Struthio camelus: one gene and its partners. The protein of the gene in region 2 binds, or shares a complex with, the protein of the main gene of each other region. Links are inferred from orthologs where the notes say so. Each region holds a gene or a part of one and is shown on either strand. Other genes may lie near its edges.

The links. The genes of interacting proteins can lie anywhere in the genome.
Region 1: the proteins of DGCR8 (region 2) and ERH are in contact, whole or in part, in a crystal structure (PDB 7CNC), measured with the Homo sapiens proteins. The link is inferred for Struthio camelus from reciprocal best matches to the Homo sapiens genes DGCR8 and ERH. Residues at the interface, in NP_073557.3 of Homo sapiens: Lys107, Phe108, Ser109, Pro110, Asp111, Leu112, Leu114, Leu115; in NP_004441.1 of Homo sapiens: Val8, Pro10, Thr11, Thr18, Tyr19, Ala20, Glu27, Lys34, Met35, His39, Arg42, Met43, Phe60, Leu64.
Region 3: the proteins of DGCR8 (region 2) and DROSHA are in contact, whole or in part, in a crystal structure (PDB 5B16), measured with the Homo sapiens proteins. The link is inferred for Struthio camelus from reciprocal best matches to the Homo sapiens genes DGCR8 and DROSHA. Residues at the interface, in NP_073557.3 of Homo sapiens: Asn728, Ile731, Leu732, Lys734, Leu735, Gln736, Glu738, Met739, Lys740, Leu742, Ala743, Arg746, Arg750; in NP_001369437.1 of Homo sapiens: Leu984, Leu987, Phe988, Thr998, Tyr999, Thr1001, Ala1002, Ile1003, Gln1005, His1008, Phe1069, Asp1073, Leu1074, Glu1076, Val1077, Trp1078, Asn1080, Pro1082.

Annotation. Positions count from the first base shown.
Region 1 is NC_090946.1:45,491,210-45,499,116, reverse strand, and holds the start of ERH (enhancer of rudimentary homolog), read right to left. Parts: upstream 3,044-7,907; 5' UTR 2,849-3,043; coding exon 2,846-2,848; intron 1-2,845. Other genes in the region: SLC39A9 (zinc transporter ZIP9), read left to right, coding at 3,225-3,328, 3,708-3,825. UniProt on the Homo sapiens protein: May have a role in the cell cycle.
Region 2 is NC_090958.1:11,505,671-11,513,525, forward strand, and holds the start of DGCR8 (microprocessor complex subunit DGCR8), read left to right. Parts: upstream 1-4,853; 5' UTR 4,854-5,029; intron 5,030-7,855.
Region 3 is NC_090943.1:91,265,916-91,273,438, forward strand, and holds the start of DROSHA (ribonuclease 3), read right to left. Parts: upstream 3,044-7,523; 5' UTR 2,988-3,043; exon of another isoform or gene 2,975-2,987; intron 1,755-2,974; exon of another isoform or gene 1,643-1,754; intron 581-1,642; 5' UTR 574-580; coding exon 1-573. Other genes in the region: C2H5orf22 (UPF0489 protein C5orf22 homolog), read left to right, coding at 3,108-3,206, 5,832-5,977, 7,165-7,314. UniProt on the Homo sapiens protein: Ribonuclease III double-stranded (ds) RNA-specific endoribonuclease that is involved in the initial step of microRNA (miRNA) biogenesis.

The DNA.
Region 1 (7,907 bases), on a different chromosome or scaffold from region 2:
ATAGATCACAGAAATTTTGTAAGCACGTTAGACAACACCATTCCATTAGTGTCAACTGAATCCAACATTTTCAATGCTAATAAGTGAGGTGAGCACACAGCACATAACATTCACGCTGGCAACTGCAGAGTAAGCCACACTGGAAATATAATTACTAAAACATATTGTTGGGTTTAAATTAATTAACTGCTGAGAGAAAACTCCTGACCCATGATTTGGACAGGACAGTTAAGATTCCAGTTCAGTACTCAGATGCAGAAAAATGGCAAAAAAGTTATTAGGATTTGCAAAGAACATATAGGAAGGCAGTAAAGATTTCTACACCACGATTGATAGTATTCCCATGCTGGGAATTAGTTTTCAGTTCTTGAAATGCTGTCTCAAATATCATGATAGAAAGAGATGGAAAGGAGACCAGAAAAAAGTGACACAAAGGAACAGAAAAGATCAAGACTTTTCCCCAATTAGAAACAGAACAAAAGGAGAATTCAGAGCTATGCACTAGAATAAAAATCATGCAAAGACAACTAGACCAGCTAAGTCCACTTTCATGTAGGTCACAGGACACTTAATTTGAATGGAATTCCTCAAGGGGGGGGGGGGGGCTGGTATCTGGCGGTTCCAAAGCCTGCTGTACTTAACAGGCTTGTCGTACTAGGGAGTCTAAATCATTCTGCCAAACTTTGATCAAGTTCTATTACCAGCAATATCGCATTTGTTTGCTGATCACTGGTGACAAGGCTTGGTTCTAAGACTTGTAACTTTAACTTCTTGGGAGCATCTGAGCACTAAGGATTCTCTATTAACAGTAATAAAGGAAGTGCTTCAGGCAGCTTAGGAAACTTGCTCTAAAACAGTTGTACTATTTTAGCATCAGAATGTCTTGCAAACTAAACTTATGAGATGTTTGATTCAGGTAGAGTTATACATATTTATCTTTTTCAACCAGGCTCAAAATTAAAGAACAGGTTGGGATTATTTCACAAAACCTAAAAGAGCACAGATAAAAGAGAACTGATTAACATTAAAAAATGATATAATAACTGACTGAATTATGTATTCTGTCTCTTGGTGGAGAACAATTGTAGGCTGTCTGGTGTATAAATACCCAGGCTATCCCTCCTATTCTTTAAACGTTAAACCATCGTGCATGTATGTTCTAACGTTATCCCAATAATGAGATTGCCAGGCATCTAAGTCTCTGATTTTAAGTGATTCATCACTTAAGACATTTTTCAATATCCATATCAGACACTGGCCTGGGGAATTATTATTCATGCTCTAAAAAGGCATATCTTTCAGCTTTTCTAAGTGCAAAACAGCAATACATAATGAAGACTAGTTTCTGCAAGCCACTAATAATAATTCTACTACACCCATCAAGAAATGAGCCTAAATTATTGCCAGTATTTTTTGATCCTGTTACTACTGACTTTTGTTTCTTCCTCTACTAGCTATTAATTTCTCATCTTCCCCTAAACTAGCTATTAATTTCTCATCTTCCCCTAAAAACCTTAAGGAGGAAAAGGATAAAAAAAATCAAAATATATATCTCAAATTTAAGAACTTCCCACATTTTTACTCTAAAGAAAAAAAACTTTTTGAATGATTTTATGAAATTGCTCCTCCTCTCCCTCCACAGGAGGGCCAAAGAATGACAAACTTAGAAGTACAAGAGAAGTTTCCTCAAACTATTAGCTGCCCTACTGAATACATGCTTAGGCGACAGAGGCCAAATCCAAGTTTCCTATGGGTATAAATCCTGTTGTTAGGAAAAAGAAAAGTGGTGGTGGATGATGCAGAAACCCTTGTTTAATCAGACTAGGTTATCAGGAACAGCCCAATAAGAACTCTTACTGTCCTGTTGCAGACTGTGGGTTTTCTTGTGCTTTCCTTTAAAGTGTAATCGAACTGTCTGCTGTTCAAGGAGACAGCAGAGTAGATACCACACTGGTTTACGTTATATGAATTTTAAACGTCTTGAGAGCTCTTCGGAACGTGCTTTAAGCACATTATTGAAGACATAACCCTGAAAAAACACTTAAGGCAGCACTGACAGGCAAAAACAGGGCATAGGAGTTAGTCAACATCTGTCCAAAGGCGCTTCTCGCAACTGTCGGGGCTATTCAACAATAAGGCAAAAAATGGAAAGGGAAGAGATGCAAACAGTGTGAAGGACAAATAAACAGGCATAGTAAAGTAAAGACAGGCAATATGCCACAAGCGCTCAAAGGACTTTCGGGTATTCCTGCTGGCCAGAAATAGCGGTTTAAGTGGCTTCCATCTTTTCACTTTCGACAACAGGACAGGGCTTGTAGCTGCTTGTCCTAGCAGGAACTAACTACCTGCCCAAGCGCTACACAGGCGGCCACAAGACTTTTGCCCTAAACCCCACAGCGCTTTTTCCACCAAAGCGCAACGTCTTGCTTGAGCAAAACCCACGTTTACTACATGAATGCGACAAGCTGCTACGACCAGCGGGCCGGTCCCGCAGCCCGCCAGCACGAGCTGCCCCCCCACCCCCCGCTCCGCTCCGCCGCGCCGAGCGGCAGCGGGGCGGCAGCAGCAGCAGCTCAGGCCCCCGAGGCCGCCGCCGCCCCGCCCGCCTGGGCCGAGCGGCGCTTCCCCAAGGGCCGCGGCCCGCCCGCCCTTTGTGCGCGCCGCAGCCGCGGCCCGCGCCCGCCCCGGGGCCCGCCGCGAGCACGTGCTGCCACCCGCCCGCCCCCGCCGCGGCCTGCCCGCCGCTGCCAGCCCGGGAGGGCCCGCGCCGCCGCCCCCAGGCCGGGAGGTAGCGGGGAAGGGGGGTGGGGGGGGGTGGCGGCGCGGCCGACCGGGGCCCGCTCACCATAGCGGCTCCCGCTCCGCAGCTCCGCCGCCGACTAAGAGGCGCCCGACAATTCCCCCACAAGCCCCCGCGCCGGCCGGAAACGCCTCGCTAACGGCCGACCATAGACGACGAGGTGCTAGACTGCCGCGCACGCGCACGGCGCGCGAGAGCGCGCTGCCACACGGCAGGGCGCGGAGCATGCCGGGAACGACCGCCCACGCCATGCTGGGCGGGAAGTGGGGGGGAGGGGGGGGGCTTGTGGGAATAGCTGAGGGAGAGCTACGCCGCGCCGCCATCTTTGGTGAGGGAGCCGCGCGCTTTCCCGCCTCGGCTCGCGCGGGCGGCAGGGCGGCCGCTGCCTCGCCCGCCATCTTGAAGGCGGGAAGCGCGCGGGGTGATGCGACGGGTGCGCCCCGGAAGAGGAAGTGCTGTGTCGTGGAGGTGGCAGTTGGCCTCCGAGGTGGCGGCGGGGTCTGGTGGGCGCAGGGAGCCCGCGGACTGGTGCGGCCTCCGGTTCCCTCCCGGCCCGGCCCTTCCCCTTCCCTTCCCCGCGGCCCCGGCCCGCTGTGCCGAGCAGCGTCAGGGCCCGGCGGTCCCCCCACCCCGGGGCGCAGGGCAGGGTCCAGCCGCCTCAGGGGAGGGCTGCGCCCGCCCCGGCCCGGGCTGGGCCGCCCCTTCTCCCCGGCCGTCGTCGGCCGCGGCGGGCAGAGCCGGGGCTGCTGCACCCCTGGCCCGGAGGGGGCCGCTGCTGGGGGCTGAGCCGACCGGCGCCGCCGGGCAGGACAGACATGGCTGAAGGCCTTTCCTGGGACCTCGGTGTCTGCACGGGTTAAGGCGTGCGGGGCGAGGTGGAAAAGTTGCTGTTGAATTTCACTTTAAGGGACTGGACAGAAAGCAGCGAAATGGATGATTTCCACTCCATCTGCCTGCTGTCTCTGGCCATGCTGGTTGCCTGTTATGTGGCAGGGATTATCCCTCTGGCAGTTAATTTTTCAGAGGTAAGACAGCTTCACCAAACTACTCGTTGGTTGCTACGGAAGAATAGCAGGAATTAGATGCAAAATCTACCACGAGGTATCAATGCTGTCCCGTTTCAACTGTGGCTATGCTTTTGTAGGTGCTCTTCTAACTTAAAAAAGATTTCTAAGGAAAACACGAGTGGATGTTAACCTTCACTGAAAATCACAGCATGAAATAATGTTTATTCAAAATCGAATGTAAAATTACTTAAATGTATCAAAATTTATGCAGGTCTCTCCGCTGCAGGTACAGGGAAGCCTCAGCATATGGTTGAAGAACAGGAGAGTAGCTGGGCATTGTTATTCTTGTAAGGAGTTTGTGTCGGAAGCTTCTGAAGTCAGACTAACTTTTGTTACGTGTCCGTGGACTGTTTGAGTCAGGGCTTCTAAACCAGTTCTGAAAATGTTCTCAGAAAATTGGTTTTGGTTAACTGTTTTGCTCATACTTAATATGAGGTAATATCTAGCTCTTTGATGATTACAAGAAAAATTTCAAGTCATTTTAATATTATTGACAACTCAAAGTATTCTTTTTGAAAAATATCTAGGATAAAAAAGATATTGTTAAAAGAGAAGGAGGCTGTTGTTACAGTCTCTGGAAGTCTCATAATATTCTCTGAGGCCTGTCGGCTTTTATTTTTTTGAAATGTTGATTGTTGCAATAAGGTGTAGTGTAGTGAAAGTTCAGTCATTATGAAGTGGTAAGAGCCTGGTTTCTCATTTCTACTGGATACAGTGCTGTTCTTGGAAAGGGAGGTGATGGAAAAGAAATGTTACCTGTTTCCCCATCACATCAGACCTCGAACTTATCCTTTAGTCTCATGATAACTAGTGCGGTGGAGGCTTTGGGGAGCAGTAGATTGTGAACAGCGTGGGAAGAAGTGTAGTTCTTTTCATTACAGCAAAATTCAACTGAATGATTTGAAACATGAGAATATATCCTGAGATCTTTACATAAAAATTAGGTTGACTGCATTAGCAGTGCTTCATCTAATGCTTTGATGGACCTTCTCTTAAACGTCATCAAGGCTGTTGCTACCTTCTTCTCCCTTTTTAAAACTCACTTTTACTCTGAAGCCTAGAAAGGACTTTCTTGCAAATTTGCTGAGACCACTACCTAGCATGTTAAATATTGTCTCAAGTTTTTTTTTTTTTTTAAATTTCCTCAGGAGTGTGCTTGCAAGTCACCTATTGTCTCTTTATGTTTGGTTATAAGTTCTTTGGCGATGACGTTGAATTGTTTATACAGTTTATACATGTCTGTACAGTTGGATCAGGGGACTCCTAAATCGCTAGGGGCTTCTGACTGCTTTGGATAGAAATCTGTTATAAAAGTTTTGTAGAACCAAAAATGTAGTGCTCTGCATAAACAGTAATCAAATACTTACCAGCCTGCTGTTATGTTTGCAGTGTTTGTAAATGTGTGCACAGTTTGTAAAGTAAGTTTATTGTGGTATCTTAAACTCTCAGAATTTCTTGACTCAGTTTTGTACTCGACTTAAATAGTTTTTTAAAGCACTCATATGTTGTGTTCATTTAAAAGAGGAGCTGAACCTCTTTGCAGATGTTTTTTGTGCAAATACTACCTAATCCTGGAAGTATCTAATTAAAAGTTAGAATTGTTTAAATAATTGACTGAGCATTTGCAGCATGGAACGTTTTAAACTAAGATGAACTATTTGGACTACACGTTCTCTGGTTTGCAAAACATTTTATAGCCTCAATGAGGAAAAAATGCCTTGTAAGGGTCGAAATAGGAAATAAAAATGAATGCTTTACATGATACACCCCGGATGCTGGAGAAAAAATTATTTGCTAATGTTAATGCATTTCTTCAGAAGACTTTTTTTGCTGTGGAACCTATTCTTTATGTTATTATTTCTGTCTTGTTTTCTGTCCTTTGAGTTAGATTTGAATTTTCTTAAAAGTATGAAACTCCAGCACAGCCAGGGAGAATGAAATATCTGTGGTAAAAAGCTAGACTGGGCAGAGCTTCACTTTGTTTGTTTATGCGGATATGAACCCATTTAGCTTAGTCCTGATTTGTAGTATAGCCTAACACTCTATTAGGCTAGGCTTGGGCCAGAAACCAGACTGTGCCTTTTCTTGAGGCTATCTCTTAAGTTGTAGCTCAAAAGCCAAAAAAAAAAAAATCAAGTTCTGGAAGTTTGGATCCTTTGAGTGTCTAACACAGTGTTGACTGAAGTGGGACTGTTTGCTACTGAAAGTAGGTGAAAGTTTTTGCTGGTTGTTGTCAGAGTTTCAATGCTACACAGATTTAAAGCAAGAAACTGACATCACTCTTGGAGAAACGCTGAGCTGTGGAACAGCTTGCTAATTTGGGAGTTTGGGGGTTTTTTTTGGAACAGAAATTTAAGATGTTTTCCTGTGAGGTTTTAACACAACTTACTCTGTTGTTGTTTTTCATGAGACTCATAAGTGTTTTGGTGACTAAATGGTTTGTTTTTAAAAGATGCAGCTTCTTGGACAAAACTAGAAGACTTTCACCCATCTGGGCGGACTGCAATTATTAGATGTCTGTATTAATCATCTAGAAGCATGGTGTTTTTTCTTGAAATAGTAATTTGTTAACGTGTGTTGTTTTCATGCATTTTTAAAAATCGCAGATGTCCAAATTAATGCACGCAGTACTCTGTATTTGCAGTCATAATAAAACAATATTACTTGTGACATTTTGTTTTTGGCTGTGTGTGTGTGTGTGTGCATATATATTATGTAAAATGAGAGATTATAGTGTTGCAGTATAAACATCATCTTATTGAGCTTTTGAGAGGTCATATTTTGGCAAAACTACTTTAAAAACAGTCAGTGTGGAAGATCAGCTATTTATATAGATTCCCACTGTATAACAACCTATCAAGTGTATTTGTCATGTGACTGTACAGTGTGTGTTGGTGGAAACTTTACAAGTATTTTCATCTCCTGCATATTACCCCTTGAATTTTCCCCAGTAAAGCTGTAAACATTTCATTATGGTCATGTCTGGCATGCATTTAGAAAGCTAGTTGTAAGTCCCTCCAGAGCCTGTGTTTCTTCTATACGAGGCTCATCTATTTCGTTGAGATTTATTGAACTTGCATCATTACAATGCATGAGGAGAAGCAGGGGGAGCATAATAAGGATATGCTATGAGCGGTTTCTTGTTACTCCAACACTGCACTCCATCTCCAGGTCCTCAGTAGTTAACTCTGGTATTTGGGCAGTGCGCAGACATCTGATTGTGCATTCAAGATGATGATGGTTCTGCCACAAAGTACGTGATACACAGTTGACATCAAGATCTGAACATCACTAGTTACTATGTGTGTTGTGCTAATGGCTATTACAGAAATGATCCTCTGGATAGGAGAGAAACTTGTCATATGAAGCAAGTTGATGTATTTTAGGTACCATTAGATGTTAATGTTACGGCATTTTCAGTGCATGACTTTGACTTTAGCCTGTCAGTGTTCTAGTCACAAGCAAACAAAAGTTAATAGTAAATTGTTCTTTCTTAGGAAAAATAAAATTTAGTCAAGAGGTACTGCAGTCGAGGGAGTACTGATCTCTTTCTAGGCTTTTTGTCCAGAGTTAGACAAAATCTTAGAATCTTTCTAGAAAGGCGGTCCTTACTATTAGTAGCAACTGCTTACAAAATCCTTACCTACTTTTGTTGTTGTTTAAGCTTGTTGCGGAAACTTGATTTTCCTGGAATATTTCTAGATTACACTGTAAAAATACTAGGTTTACATAATATTCTTTAAGTTTTAATTACCAATTTGCAATGCTTAGATTTTACAGTAGATTTCAGTTTTAGCTATGTTTGCAGAGCGGAAAAGGGAGTGCCATGATCTGTAACTACCTAGAGTGGAATATCTGTTTGTATTGCCCTAAAATGTGATAAAGAAGCTCTTTAAATGATTTATATAATTCTGATTTTGAACCTATTTTTGGGACTCAGTCCTGTCTGTCATATTTTGTAGCTACCCGTCATTTTGAAAATATTATGGTGCATATTGCAGTTCTACACATTCAGTGGGCAACTTACGCATCTGACTGTT
Region 2 (7,855 bases):
TGGTTGTCACACGATGACTGACAGAGGTTAGATGAGAGCAGACTTTGATTTTAAAAAAAAAAAAAAAGTCAGTATTTTGGAGAAGACCTAATTTAATGTGAGCAGATCTAAGCTTCCTTTCTTCCCCCTCAAATTGTCTTCTAGCTTAGTCAATGTGTAATGGCAGTGCCCAGTTTTCTGTCTAACACCTGCTGTCTCCATTTAAAAAATTGATTTATCATTCTCTGGTGAATGAGACGTACTACATCTCAAAATTTGGAGAAAATCCCAGCCTTACTGATGCCACATGCCTTAATTATAAGCATCTAACTTCACTATCTACATGGGAAATCTAAGCTTTTTTTAATATAATCAATGGGAAGGCTTATCTACCTCTCTGAACACTTAAGAACCTGCTTCTCTCCTTTATGAGCAAACTAAATTAGATGCCTGAAGTAGGATGTCATGAACCTTCTGAGGATTTGTGAATAAAGTCTGTATAATAATGTTTCCTTAGGGAGCTGGACGTTTAGTTTGATATGCACAAAATTCAGACCAGATCCAAATTAGATAGTCATCTGTGTTATTTCAGATGCCTCTGTGGCACATAAATTATTCCTTCCACTCATACTTGAAGCCTGAGAAAAATCTCACCGAATTCAGTAGAAAGAATCTTGCTGGATGCTGATGTAGTTTGAATTGTGCCCTTAATACAGTTAAACATAGTACAACTTAAAGAATTTGCAGCACTTCCTTATACTACTACATAAGTAATTTTCCCATTAATTATTTTGGTTTGTGGATTATATTTTAAATTGTATTTTAGTTAATTTTCTGCGCTTGAGAGGTGTCTCAAAGAGTTCCAATTTATGTAGCTTTATCTGGAGTGGCCCTTGGAAGTACAGAAATCTCAGTCATGTCCGCTCTGGGCCTTGATGTGCCTCTCCAGTATGCCCAGGTGCCAGGGAAACAGTTTATGCAGAATGATTTCTCTGCTGAAGTTCGAAGGGTAGTTCTTGTGGAGATGGAAAAGTCTGTATAGCAATTAGTCTGGAATCACCTTCTCTCCCTCACTGTCCGTGGTGACTGAAATGTGAGTACTGTATATGACAAACCACTGAAATAGCACTTGGTTTGAAAATTTGTCTGCCCCAGTAACTCCTTATTAGGGAGATTTTTTGGGTTTTTTATGCATATCCAGATCTTTGCAGTGTGACAATTTGCACTCAGAGTGACTCAGCTCTGTTAATCTGGTCATTATAGCTTCCATGAGGTTGAAAATACATATTGTTAAATACATGCACATCTGTTTCATACCTCAAATATATTATGCCTTGATCAGTAAAGTGTCTGGAAGGATAGGTCATTAATTTGTGTGTGTTTCACAACTTCATGAAGTGGAATATATTGTGGTAAAATACCAATTGTTTTGCCAAAAAAGGTAAGTATTGCAGGATGAGCAAAATTTCTCTTCCAGTATATTTTCCTTTTGGAAGGACACAGTATGAACTGCATTTGCTGACACTGTTACTAGTAATATGAAAAAGACACTGGCTCCACCTAATCTTCATTCTGATGAATGCAGTCTGCTAACTTTATTAGGAAATCTATAATTAGTTTTTCTTGTGGGCTTAGTTTCTGTAGAGTGTGTGTGTGTAAGACAGCAATTGTTTCTGTCCAACCTTCCTATATCTTGGATATGGAAACTTCCTTATTCTTAGGAACTGATCTTTGTTAATGCTAATGATAGTTCCCGATACTGCTGTAGATTCTAATTGCACAAGCTCCTCCGTACAGCTGGACCGCCCACTTTAAAAGTCTAGATGGAAGATAGTGTTTTTGTGCACGTGTCTGAGAAGTTTTATTTAGAAGTCCAGAGAATAAAAACTTTCAGGTGAATTTATTACTTGTTAGATGTGGCAGATTGGACTTAATTCTTCAGGATTCTTTCTCTTGTTGAACAGATAGAGCAGGGCAAGGTTTGCGATACTCCAGTCCACTTTTAACATTTCATGCTAAAAGCTGCCAATGCATGACAAGCTTAGTCTCTGAGTTAGGGTTGGGAGTGTGCTCCACATCAGTTGGTCTGACCTATGGGGGAGGGGGACAAGGGGGCTTTAAAAGTTCTCTTGTCTCTCACTAAGCTGTGCCTAGTTACTGCTCCTGTTTTTGTGATCCTTCATGTCTGTTCTAATGCAGTTTTCCAGTGGGAACAAGACTGAAATCTCCCTAATGCATTTATTTCAGTTTGGTCATCCCAGAGATGCAGGAGGTCAACCTATTTCAGTTGCTGTTGACCTGTTGAGAATTGAAGCTGGAAGCCTGGGTGTATAGGAGTGACCTAGCAAAGATGTACATATGCTGTAACTGTTGAGATTTTTCCCTAACAGCAGTATGTGGGCTGTGGGAAATTAGTAAGTAGGTTTTGTACAGATGACCAACCTCAATGCTTTCCGTATGTGGTGGATTTCCCCCCTCTTTGACTTTTGAAGTACTGGGCTTACAAAAGCGTTTGTAGAAAGTGGTCCTCTCTCAAAGTAGCTTTACTATACTTGCACCGAACACAATTTTAGCTTTTTTAAACAGGTTTGAGATAGTAAGTCATACAGGTCTTCTGGGTTAAAGACTTAACCATGATTTTAACTTCATTGTTTTGCTGAAAGCATTGTTTTATACTGTATTATTAAAAACCTTTTGCTTATAAAAGGTTAGAAATATGTTTCCTTGTATATTGTCAGTGTCTCAAAGTATCAGCTGTTACATTAAGTATTAGTTAAGTTAGGCATTAAGTCATAGTATTATGTTTCTCTGAAAACTGATGCAAAATGGAAAACTAACATACTGGTTGCTTCTGTAATTATTTTTTCACTTTCAAAGCACTGCATGCATTTTAATATCTTGTATCTCTACATGAAAATCTGTTTCTGATCCTAACTCAAATGTTGCAGTTTGTGTACATGGAAAAAATTATTGTACATTACAGAAAATATCACAAGTTACTTTCAGTGCAAGTTTCAGTTGTATACAAGTTACATCAGGCAGAGGTAAATGAGTAATGATACTTGCATGTCCTTATACTCTTTGAAAGGGACAATCCTTTTGTTTTCTGTCACGATGTTAGCAATTTATGAGGTGACATGATGCAGATAGTTTACAGCAAATGTCAACGTTAACACATTCTATGGTTAATGACTTATGCTTTGAAGCTTGAAACTCAATGTAAATGGTTGTTTTGCAAGCCACGGGTATTTCTTAAATATGCATTCTGAAGTAATTATTTTAAAATAAATAAAAGTGGTTGTCATTTTAAAACCACTCTAAAATACTGGCTTGAATGCAGAAGCCTGTAATGATGAATTAAAAGATGTACTGCCTTCAGTTTTTGAAGGCAGCTGGCAGAGATGCCAACCAATTTCAGTAACCATGTCATTATGTACCAATAATAGCACCATGGCATTATGTCAGAATAAATACCAGAATATCATCAGATATGTTAGTCCAGTCAGACAAACACAAAGGTAAAAGCCCTAACAGAAAATATTAGTTACAATTATCTTCCCTAACTGTATTTAGGGACCTCAAAGCCATTACGTGACTGATACATTGCCTGATTATCATGCCCTGAAATTGCTTGTAGAAGCAAACAGAAATTGTAATAGTTAATGCAAGTGATTAAGCCTTTTGATGCATTATTTTGTTACTGTTTTGTTTTTCCTATGATGTTGATTTCAAATCAGTATTACAGTGAAGAGGTAACCCGGTAATTTAAGTGTATCAATATGGAGTTACTGTAGTTCTGTATTTTTGTGCCTGAAAACTACAATGAAATGTTAGTTATTCTGTTAAGTACTTGGTACATATGGCAGGAAAGACGGTCCTACGTTGATTTCTCCTCTTTAAGATCAGTTTTGAAAGGGTAGTGCTGTAGTTGTGTTACTTGGACCTAAAGCAGCATCAGAAGGAAGCAATATCTATTCCATCAACCAGCTGATGATGCATTTGTGTGGGGGGAAACAGTGACAAGCTCTGAGTGTGCACATTCCTTCCATCAGGCCTGATAGAAAGCATCACCTCTTCCTCACACCCTGCTTCTGATCTAGTTTTCCTATTTTGAACAAGAGCAGGTGGGCAAACAGAACTTTAAGAGAGCAAAAAGCATAGATACATTGGAGACATTCAGCTGTGTAGCCGTACTACCCCATCTCTCTTTAAAGCAAAGATAATGGACGAATGAGGTAAGAACGGGGGAACGGACACCCCCCCCCCCCCCCATTGCTTTGTACATGTAAGGAAAGGGAGGAGGGGAGAGAGCACAGCTGGAGCATGGTGTACGTTTAACCCCTTCTCCGAGGGGCCTTCTCCCCTCCCTGTACAGGGAAAGGGCTGGGGCTTGGGGGAGCAGCCTCAGGCTCGGTCCCCAGCCCCGGTGAGCCGAGGCCCGGCCAGCCGCGGCCCCGCTCCTCTCCCCACGCCTCAGGGCCGCGCCCGGCTCAACCTCTTCGCCCTCCCGTCGCCTTGGGCCCCGCTCTCGGGGCTTCCCCCCGCGCCCCGGCACAAGCGCAGCGGCGCTGCGACCGCCTCGGGGCCTTCCCGCGGCGGCGGAGGCCCTAGACAAAGAGCCCGGGGCGGCCCAGCCTGCTGCCCCATCATGGCCGCCCGCCTCTGAGGACGCGCCCTCCCGCCGCACGCACCACCGCCTCCGTCCCGCCCCCGGCCTCCTCTCATTGGTCAGACACCATGAGCGTATGTGTCGCTCGCGCCTCTATTGGCAGGGCGGGCTAACATGCCCGGGAGCAAACCAATAATTATCGAGAGTTCAAATTCGTGACAGCTGAGACGGGCAAGGCAATTGGCTTGCCCGAGGGGCGCGTCCCGCCCGCCGGGACCGCAGCTGCTCGGAGCAGGCGTTTAAAGATGGCGGCGGAGGCGGCGGCGGCGGCGCGAAGTGGGAGGCGGTTTCCGTGAAGCGGCCGCGCCAGCGCTTCCCCCACCCCCATCCCCAAGCCGGGCCCGGGCAGGAGGAGCGGCGGGGACCCCGGGAATGGCCCAGGTGGGTGCCGGCCCGGCGGGCTGCGCCGCCGCGGAGGGCGGGCACGAGCGGGGCCTGCGCGGCCCAATCGCCGCCGCGCGGGCAGTAACCCCTGCGTCCCCGCGGGCCGGGGCGCCGCGAGCAGCCCTTGCTCGAGCCGCCGAGACAAAGTCGGCGCCAGCCCCTGCCCTGAGCGGGCACGGCGGCTCTGCCGGCGGGCTGCCCGCCCGCCGCTCCTCCCCCGCCCCTTCCCTGGCGGCCGGCGCTTCCCTCGCGCTCTTTCTTTCTCTGCCGCCTCCCTGGAGCTGCGTTCAGGCTGGTGGGAGGAAAGGAAGCGCCATGTCTCTCTGTCCTCCCCGCACATCTCTCCTGTCGCTGGTGGGGAGTGTTAACCTGGCCAGGCTTTCTACCATCTCGTGTTAGGGTGCAGGGCGGCGGGGGTGGAAGGGTTTCTCCTGTGCACCTCTCTGCGCGCAGGGCGGGGGGGCCCCGCAGGGGTGAAGACTCTCATCTATCCTCCCATGCGAAGTTGTGAAGAAAACGCAGCCGCCGTCCCCACCACGTGTGTGCACACCCGTTCCCTTTTTTTGGTCCTTCTTGCAGATTGGGGTGGTGAAGAGAAAGTTGCGTGTCTTCCTAGCCCTCGGGATTCTTCTTCACGTGCTCTTTTTATTCATGGCGAAGTATAGTATGTTTTTTTCTAAATTGCCTAATTCAGTCTCTGAAAGGTTTAGGTTCCTAAACTTTCTTATTTTTCACTGGAAAAATAAAGGTCTTTCCTTTGCACCTCTTTGTCCTTAGCGTGGATTAATGAAAGAGGGTTTTCTTTTGATACAATTTCAGAGTAATGACTCTTTCACAGTAGATTCTCAGTTGTCTTCTCTTTAGTAATCCTTTTCGGACACTTCCAAAGGGAAGTCTTATTTTAGTGGAGATTCAAGGAAAAAAGGGAATTCTTCTAATTCTTCTTCAACTCCTTTCCTTTTTTTTTTTTTTTTTAATTCGTGATGGGTAGGAGAGGAAGGATGTTACTCGCATTTGATTATGCTTCCTTTCTGAATGAAGAGAGAGCCTGAATCTGCCAGCTATATTTCTACACCTAGTTTTCGATACAATGGCCGTTCCATTGACACTAGGTGTATTTGCAGCATCTTTTTGCTGCTGAGAGGGTGGACTTCCTAAAATCAGCTAAGAGACAGTTAATGCTTTCCTTCTGAAGGTGGGATTGAGAGCTTGCTGAGTGAGCTCATTCATTCTCATTGCTCCATTAGGTAGAGACCTTAGAGTTAGTTCTTTAACTTTTCTTTCATGAATATTTCTCTTCTCCCTTCTGTTTAGGTAACTTAAGCATTCTTTAATTCTGGGTGAAAATTAGCTCGCTAGTTCTCCGTGTAGTTTTTTTGATTGCTAGGATTACTTTGCTTTTTGGGAGAGCGAGAGGGGAATTTAGTCCGTTATGTCTGTTGTTTTTCTTCATAAGTAAGAAGCCAGTTGTTAGGTGAATGGAAGCACGCGTTTTTTTTCCTTTCTAGCCTCTGAATTGCATTTTTTCCCCTAAAACTGTTTCCTGTTTCACGCTGTTAATTGAAACCATCTAAGCCCTATCAGAAAATTGGTCAAGCTGTAAGTGCAGCAATTGCTTTGCCATTTACAGAGGTACCTTTCCCACATCGCGTACTCTGGTGCTTCAGAAATGAGACGTAACTATGCTGGATGCAGCCTTATGAACGAGAATTCTTTAGCCTTGTCTACGTTTGCTCTAGATAAAGTTATGATTGGGCCTCTGACTGGCTTTTCTGAAACTGCCTTGATGGCTTCCACAAAATGGTTGCTTTCTTCACAGTCTTTCTGTGCTAATGCTGATTAATATGGAGAGAAATAAGCTTTTGTATGTAGTAGCAACTTATGGAACATGTTTGTTTGGAACTTCCTGTTCTGTTTTTATGGAAAGAAAGGATTCAGTCTCCTTATTGTTTTGTTTTTTGTTTAGTTGGGTTTTATTCTAACACTTCATACTTAATAAGAGCAAATTTATTCTTAGGACTTTGAAGAAGTCCCCCCTGTGAGTGCGGGATTGCTTTGACAGGGATCAGGATTGAGTGGATTTTTAAGCAAGATCAGTGCATCATAACTTCTGCTCTGCAGAATTAGCCTTTGGAGCCAGAGGATGAGAGAGAGGACTTTATATTTGGATAGCAAAAATAAGGAGAGTTTGCTCAGAGCTACTCTTTCTTTTGGGGTCCACTGACTGTGAAGTTAACAGTTTCTGGCAAGAAGCTAGATTTTTTTTTTTTTTTTGAAACTGTTTTCAGAAGACAGAATCCATGATATGTTGTTCCTTGTTGCTGATTGCAGCTACAGGTAGTCATGTTGAAAATCTGTTCTGCATTGACCTCACTTCAAAGACTACTGAAATGCTATTATGTGAAGAGAGCTCCTCTTTGAGCCTGGGCAGTGCTGGTTACAAATTTTAAGATTCTGTATTTGTGTTTTCATCAAAAGAGATACCCTTTTGTCTGTGCACTTTTTTTTTTCTCGATCCATCTGTTTAGACGGGGAGAATAGGCATTGGTACTTGCTAAACAGAGAAAAAGCTATTTTGCTTTTCTTTCTCTCTTCCAAAAATGTAGATTTATAAGATAACTGAGCCAAGAGGAGGAGCTTCAGTATACTGCTTTTATTGGGGATCTACTCCATTTGCTACATTACGTTTGGATGTCCGCTGTGTATCTAATTCTTTGAGTTTACTTTTACTTTGTGATATGAGACCTTTTCAAATGATGTGCTAAAATGTGGACTTTCTGTGTACTGGTGGTATCTGCAGGATATCAGCTGTGCCTTCATATT
Region 3 (7,523 bases), on a different chromosome or scaffold from region 2:
GTTGGTAGCGCTGCTCTGGAAAGAGCTGGAATTGTGCTGATAGCTATTGAAGTTCGGAGGGGGGAATGACTGCTGTGAATACCCTGCGGAGTAAACAGGCTGGTAGTTGACTTGCTGCGGTATGACTGGGGGTGGGGGAGGATGCGGTACTGTCGGGGGCGGCATCATGTAAGGAAATGTGTTTTGCCCCGTCGGAGTTCCTGGCACAGGAGTATTGCTAGGATTTGGCACTGGTGGAGGAGCGGGAGGGAAGCACGGAGGCACTGGGAAACCCTGCCTCATCTGATGGTTTGGAAAAGGTGGCCTCATGGGACACTGGCTGATGGGACTCTGTGTGGAAGGGGGCACTGGAGGAGGATACGGCACAAAGTCTGGCCTGGGAGGCATGTAACCAGTGGCTGGAGGGTTTGAATAGGTTGTCGGAGGGGCCGTTTGCTGGTCATACTGGTATTGCACAGAGGGCTGCTGTGGGTGAAGCTGCCGTAGGTTCTGAGGTCGGTAGGTCTGTGTTGAAGTTCGTGCTCCTGGTCCCCCCTGGCCGCGGGGACACCCTCGTCCGGAATGGAAAGACATGGCTCACCTTTAAAGAAGAAAATAAATAAATGTACAGTGTCACAAAGTTTTTCTATGAGGTTCTTTGGAAGTAGTTCCAGGAAATGCACAAAGTGCTTAAATTATGATTTCTGCAGTTTCTTTTAATAGGAGCAGCAGATGACGACCACTGGCTTTCATTGTGAGCTTTGTGCTCCTCAGTGCTGTAGTACAGGTCATTATTCCCCCAAGATTCCCCTAAGTCTCTAATCCACTAATGCACTCTCCTGCCTCTAATCCAGAATCCAGGTGGGACCATACCCTCATGGTCATGGATGCTTTAATATAAAGTCTTCAGACACCCACACCAAAGAGATCGCTCATTTTAACAAAGGTAGGAGTCATCCAAGGTCTTACATCAAGGAGTTCTTCCTAGAACACTATTCTAAACTTCAGGTAGAACAACTTTACTAACATGCCATCGTGAGTTGCCTGGTCCAGTGAAAAAAAATCACATAAATCTTAAACAAGATAATGGGAATTTATATTCACAGTTAAGTCCCAATTTCGTACAGGACTGAATTCAACAGATATTTTAAAGTTAGGTACATAAAAATTTACTGTGACCCACAAAAACGTACGTGGACTGTGGTTTGTTCCAATTTCAATAAACAAACATTTTCAAAATTCCTGAAGTACCTAATTGGCCGTGTTACCTTGCTGGCAATAGGCACTGCTCTAAGCGGGCTGAAGTCTTGCTCAAAAGCATGTGTTGTATGTAATGTACTACGGTATTAAAGTTTAAAAATGAAAACTGCTGTGGCATATTGAAGTTAAAATTAGTTTTTCATTAAAATGTTCAAAATTCAAAAACTGGGAAAAAGGAAAAAATATTTAAAATAAAACATCAACAATGATATGTTGGGTGGAAGGGAGGGAGAGAGGGGGAAAAAAACAGTTGATCCTGCAGCTGCAAATGTCAAATCCTGTTCTCTATAAGAGAGAGACACATAAACACGTATGCGGAAAGATCACCAGACACAGAAAACAAAGCCTCCTTTTTACAGTGGCTTTACCGATGCAGAAGTACACATAGGGAATAGTCTCCCACCTGCTACCCTGTAACCCGGCAAACGTGGGCTGCTCAGAGTACTACTTTTGGCTGCATTCTGGTCCCAGCGCTGCAAAGGATGAAGCTTGCTGACTGATGCCAGACTTCTGCTAGTGAACCGAAGGGAAAAAACGGAAAAGAAATGAAACAGGGGGAAAGGATGCACATTGAGGAAGAGGTACCAGGAGGACCCCAAGTCTCCCGTCCCATGCTCAGGGCTTGGTTGAAGCCACTGGAAGTGGTGGTGGGGCATTTCCTCCCTCGTTTGAGCAAGTGGACAACAAAGGCCAGCAGGATAAGGGCGGATCAACACGTTTCTAGGAGGTAGCAGACATGTAAAGCCACTGACTGATTCCTTCCAGGCAACCCCGGTCTGTTCAGTACCCTCAGGTCTTTTAAAGGGTCTCAAAAAGAAATGACAGGGAAAAAAAAATCTACTCCACACCTTCACGAGTTTGTCTGGCAGCAGCGCTACTTTCTGTCATCCTTAATTCTAGTCCATTAAACGCTGGACCATTTTTCCTCAGGTCAGCAGTTATAACTCACCTAGCGCAGGCTTCTGCCAGTACACTGTTTTGTGCTTTGCTGACATTTACATACAAATTTTATTTAAACAGGCTGAGCCAATCTTTTATCCCCTTGAATGAAGTAAAGGGAAACCCACTGTACTGTACTGTACTGGTGCCTTAACGTAAGGCACGTTTCTTCTTAACACGTGCCAGTGCATTCAAACAAAAGGTCTCCTTTACCAGCTCTCTCCGAGCTTATCTGCACCTTCAGAGGTTTCCTCTGGTTTCTGCGATCACAGTTCAAGCACTTCAGAACGCACCGAAACGCAGAGCCAAAGGCAGCAGGGAAGGCAAAAAAAAAAAAAAAAAAATTATTTCAGGTTATTTTAAAGCTCCCGCTGCTGCAATTTTTCACCGCGTTCAGGTTCGCTTTGAACTTCAGTGGGAAAAAACCGATGACGAGTCATGCCCTTCCTTCCACCCACAAAGAGAAACCCGTTGCGCCACACGGACACGGACACGCGCGGACACCCGCCCCGGCGCAGGGCCGGCGCGACGGGGCCCTGCCCTCAGGGCGGCCCGGGCCGGCACCGCCCGCCGCCTGCCCTCAAACGGCGCCAGTTTCGCCCGCGCGGGAAGGGCAGGTTTACGCACGGCCGGCGATCACCGCAGCGGCAACGACCGCCAGCCGCCGCCGAGCCCCGCGCGGCGCCCCGGCCGCCCCTCGGCCAGCGGGGCTGCGCCATCACAACGGCCCGCGGGGCCACGTCGCCACGGCGGCGGTCGATGCGCTGCTTCGCCCCGGCCCGGGAGGGGCACGCACCCGCGCAGCCCACCTGCTGCCCCGCCGCCGCCGCCGCCGCCGCCCGCGCCGGCTCCGGAAGAGGAAGGCGCGGGGCGGGGCGCCGCGGGCGGAAGCCGCCGCCGCCACCCGGAGGGAGCCGGGCCGCCGTGACATGAGCGGTGGGGGCCGCCCGCCCGGGGAGCGCCCCGCCGGGGCCGGCCGGAGGGCCTACCCGGTGCTGCCGGTGTGGGTGGTGGAGGACCACCAGGATGTGAGTGAGTGCGCGGCGCGCCCGGCCCAGCCCCAGGCCCGTCACTTCAGCGGGTGCAGCCGCCTCCCGGGGCCCCACCACCATCCCCCCCGCCGGGGTCCCGGCCCGGCCCGGCCCGGCCGCCCCTCGGGTAGTAGCGGCAGGGGAGAGGCGGGTCGCGGCCTTTCTCTGGGCCGTGGGTATTTGGGGGGGTTAAAAAAAAAAACAAACCCTTTTCTGTCTTTCTCGGTTTCTTCTTCCAGCCGTGCCCGCTGCCCTGGGGGCGCGAAAACCAGCCTCCTCGGGCCGGTCTGGCTAGTGGCACACGAGTGAAGTTCAGTGTCCAGATGATGTGGAGCCCCGTCGTGATCCAGTGATGCATGTAGCTGGTGCCATTAGGGCAGGCTGGTGGGGTTTTAAGTAGTTATTTCACTCTCTTTCTCTTTTTTTTTTTTTTTCCCCCATGGTTTCTGTGTTTAAAAGAAAATAACACCCACGTTTTACTGCTTCTGGAATTAGCTAGGTCCTAGCGTACTGCTTAGAAACTCAGGCCTACGCAACGTATGAGGCACACTCTAACCAGCACATTGACTGTCAGTAGCTGAGAGATGTCAAATTTGGTGCTTTATATTATTTGTTTGCTTGTTTTTAATGATAGCTAGTTTAAAAAGGCAATCCTTTGCAAAGGATTGCTTTTGAAGTGCTGTTTCTGGTTTCTCAGAGAGTTTCTTTATTATAGCACAAGTTGAGGCTGTAATCCAAAGTAAGCAAATTCTTTACCCAAAGGCACAAAAGCCCACTAATTTCAGCAAGCATTTCTGGGGCATAAAGAACTGGTGGAGAAAAAAATGAAAAGCATTAACTCTATTGCTGTTTTGCAAAAGCACTAGCGTGATACAGTTTATTAAGGGAAACGTTATTCTGAACTTGAAAGTAGATAATTTAATGAGGATTATTTTTGCCAAGACTCGCTGAAATGGTTGATGCTGTGGTGGCTGGTTTTCTGCAGTAACCACGGACTAAGAGTGTCACTGTAATAGAAGTACTGAGATAATGTCTGTTAATAATTCTTCTTTATTTTGCTTTCAGTACTTCTCTTTTGAATTAGGTTAACAAAGACTCTTCCTACCAAATATATATGCTGTACTTTCAATATATGTATGTATATACATTGATCTGTCTTATATAAAACGTGTATAGGCTTTTACCTCAAAGCGTAAGAACTTCCCAGAAACTATGTATAGTCCAGATGAATTACTGACGTTGAAGTTTCTCTGGGGGTAGATGACACTAGAGGCACCATGCTTTGATTAATAATAACAGCTAGCGGGAAGGGAATTTTGTTCTCAACCCAAAGCAGCAGAACTTGCAATGTAAGGGACTCTAGGCTTTTGTCTCCTCCCTCATCCTGCTCTGTTTTCAGAATTTGCGCTAACACTTCCATGAGATTAAACTAATTTCACCTGTCAACATTGTAGGTTGTACAGGTAGGCCATTTGCCTTTTGTGAAGAACTGGAAATCATAGATCAGAGAATCACTGTTATTTTCAACCTTATTTTTATCTATTATTACAGTAGGATATATATCATTGCATAAGTAGTGGGAAAACTGAGAATTTATAGCCGGTCTGGTGAAATACAATCCAAATTTCAACTAAGTGTCAGATTTTATGGTTATGTACACTCACTATTCAGGATTTGTGATCTTAATCAGTTTTATGCTTAAAAAGTAGCTCAGTTTGCATTTAAATACAGAGATCCCGTGTAGCTTATATTGCCCAGTCTTTTTATAGTTTTCATGCTCCCTGTATAGTAGCGATCTGGTTCACAATTCTTGCTAGATTTGTTCTGGCAGCTAAGGCAGTTACCGGCCTGTAACTGTGGGAGAAGCTCCGTCTACTGCAGCTCAGTGTAAGAAGGATCGTGAATTAGCCTTCAGTTGTCTCATCCCACTTGACAGTATTGCACATCAGTGCTTTGTTATGCCGTAAATTGACACATCTACCCATCTGCTTTTCTCACTTTTAAGTGGGCAGCTGGGGAAGGTAGTCTTTTCATTGCAGCCGCTAAGTCCTGCAGGGATTGGGAATTAAACTTTTTCTCCAGAGGAATAGGTTTAAAGATCAGCTAAAGCTTAAATGGTAGCCGGGTCAGTTTTCACCCTGTATCAGTTAACATTTTGTTAGTGGGGCTTCAGAAGTTTGTATCTCCGCAGCCCCATGCATAGGTTGTGGCTAAGCTTTATAGCATGGAAAAGGAAGTGTAGGGGGTAATCTTCAGCGGAAGAGAGACGGCATTTCTGGGGATCAGTTGAAAAGAAAAAAACTAGGCAGTGTATTAAATTATTAATCAGAAGAGCTACTACAAACAAGACTTCCTATAAGGAAGAAAAGAAAGAGTAAAGCTATGATTCTGCAGCAACTGGCCATGTATGAAACTCTTGGGTTCATAGTGATTCACGGTTCTTCGGCTGTCTTGCTGTTGGAGTGGTATCCCTTTGTTTTCAGTCTCCTTCTCCTTCTCCCAAGAAATAATCCAAATTCAAAAGAAGCAAAGAGGAGAGGGGCTGGTATTTTTGCTATTAACGTCATTGCGTTTTTCAGCTTGCTGGTTATAACTGAAATATTTTTGTTCGTATTGTTTTAGGTTCTGCCTTTCATCTATCGCGCCATTGGTTCAAAGCACCTTCCTGCCAGTAACATCAGCTTTGTTCATCTTGACTCCCATCCAGACCTCCTTATTCCCGTAAATATGCCAGCAGACACCGTATTTGACAAAGAAGCTCTTTTTAGGTAAAGTCCTGTGTACTGCATCAGAATACCTGAAGTCCACTTCTTGCTACCTTTGATTTACAGTCCGTATTCGTTTAACTTTTCATACAGCAGGTGTAAAGCAGCCCCAAGTTGTGTCTTCCATCCTTTCACTTTTGCTGAACACTTTGGTTTTTTTGTGGGGAGGAAGTTATGTGTGTGCTTTATGAGTGTGGTCAAATATTTATGTTGCATATCAAGAAAACCTGAGACTTGCGAATTTACTTTTAGTTGTTTAGTAGTATGTCGTGTTATTAGGCCAGGTTATTTCTCTGGATAACAGGACAGTACTCCTAAGTGCTGATCCTTTTGATCTGAAGAGCTGTAGGTTTAGAACAGCCTTTCTGTCCTCAGTCTGAAAAATCTGCTTTGAGGTTGCAATAGCATCATCTGTGGTGACATGCTGAATGTGTGAAGTTGAACAAGATTTTCTCATTAATATCATGAGGACCAATATTTTACCCCAACTTCTGAAGAAGGTAACAAGGCACAGAGTGACCTTTATTGTCTTTCTCTTCCCATTTTAAAATGACTCTTGACTACTTCAGTATGGAATGGTGATTCACAGCAATCAAAGGATGATGTAATTAGTACGTAAGTAGCTGTGTCATTCTATCAATAGTCAATATCTTACTTTTTTTGTTGGATAAATAAGAAACTTTGGGAGCCGTTTTGTGCGCTTAAAGAGATAGCATATTGATAGTAAGGATCGATTTTTATTCTGTAGGTGCTGATTGATTGCTTTTCAGCACTGAGATGATATTTAAAACCTGTTTAGAGTACTTGACAGCAAAATACTCTGAGGTCAATTCAGAGCTGTCTAAAATAGTGTTGATCATGATCTTTGCACTTTTCCTCTGTCTGATACATCAAGAGAGAAAGGGCAACAAATCCATGTCGTTTATAGTCAAAGAAGCCTACTAAGAGTGAAGCTGACCCTGACCTATAATCCTTTTTTTTTCGTTCTGCTACAGACGTTTTGGGTTCTTCTTATGAATTAAGCTTTCCCTCCTACTTTTTTGATCATGTGACCTGTGCACAGTGTTCTTACTTCAGATGATTTGTGTGTGTACTTTCAAGATATGGAAGATACTTGTAGTGCTCTTGACCGTGTTTTACTTACAGGGGAGCTAACAGTGTAACCTCCAGTCTTTCTTCATTCATTCCAGTGAATTAAGTATTGAGAACTGGATTATGCCTGCAGTTTACGCTGGCCATATTTCTCAAGTAATATGGCTTCACCCACCTTGGGCTCAGCAGATCTCAGAAGGAAAACACGATTTTTTAATTGGGAAAGACATATCAACAACTACAATCAGGTAAACTGCCTACTACCATACGCTAGTAATATGAAAGCTAGCTATGTAGCTTTTCATGGGATTAATTTTGTATTCTTGGATAACTTGGATACTGTTGTTGGATAGTATTGTGCCTTAAAGTCCTAGATATTCTCATTCAATCTAGGCAAGTCTTAAATTATTTCTATTCATTAAAGTCAAAATCTTAGAAAGCTATTTTCAGCAGAGGA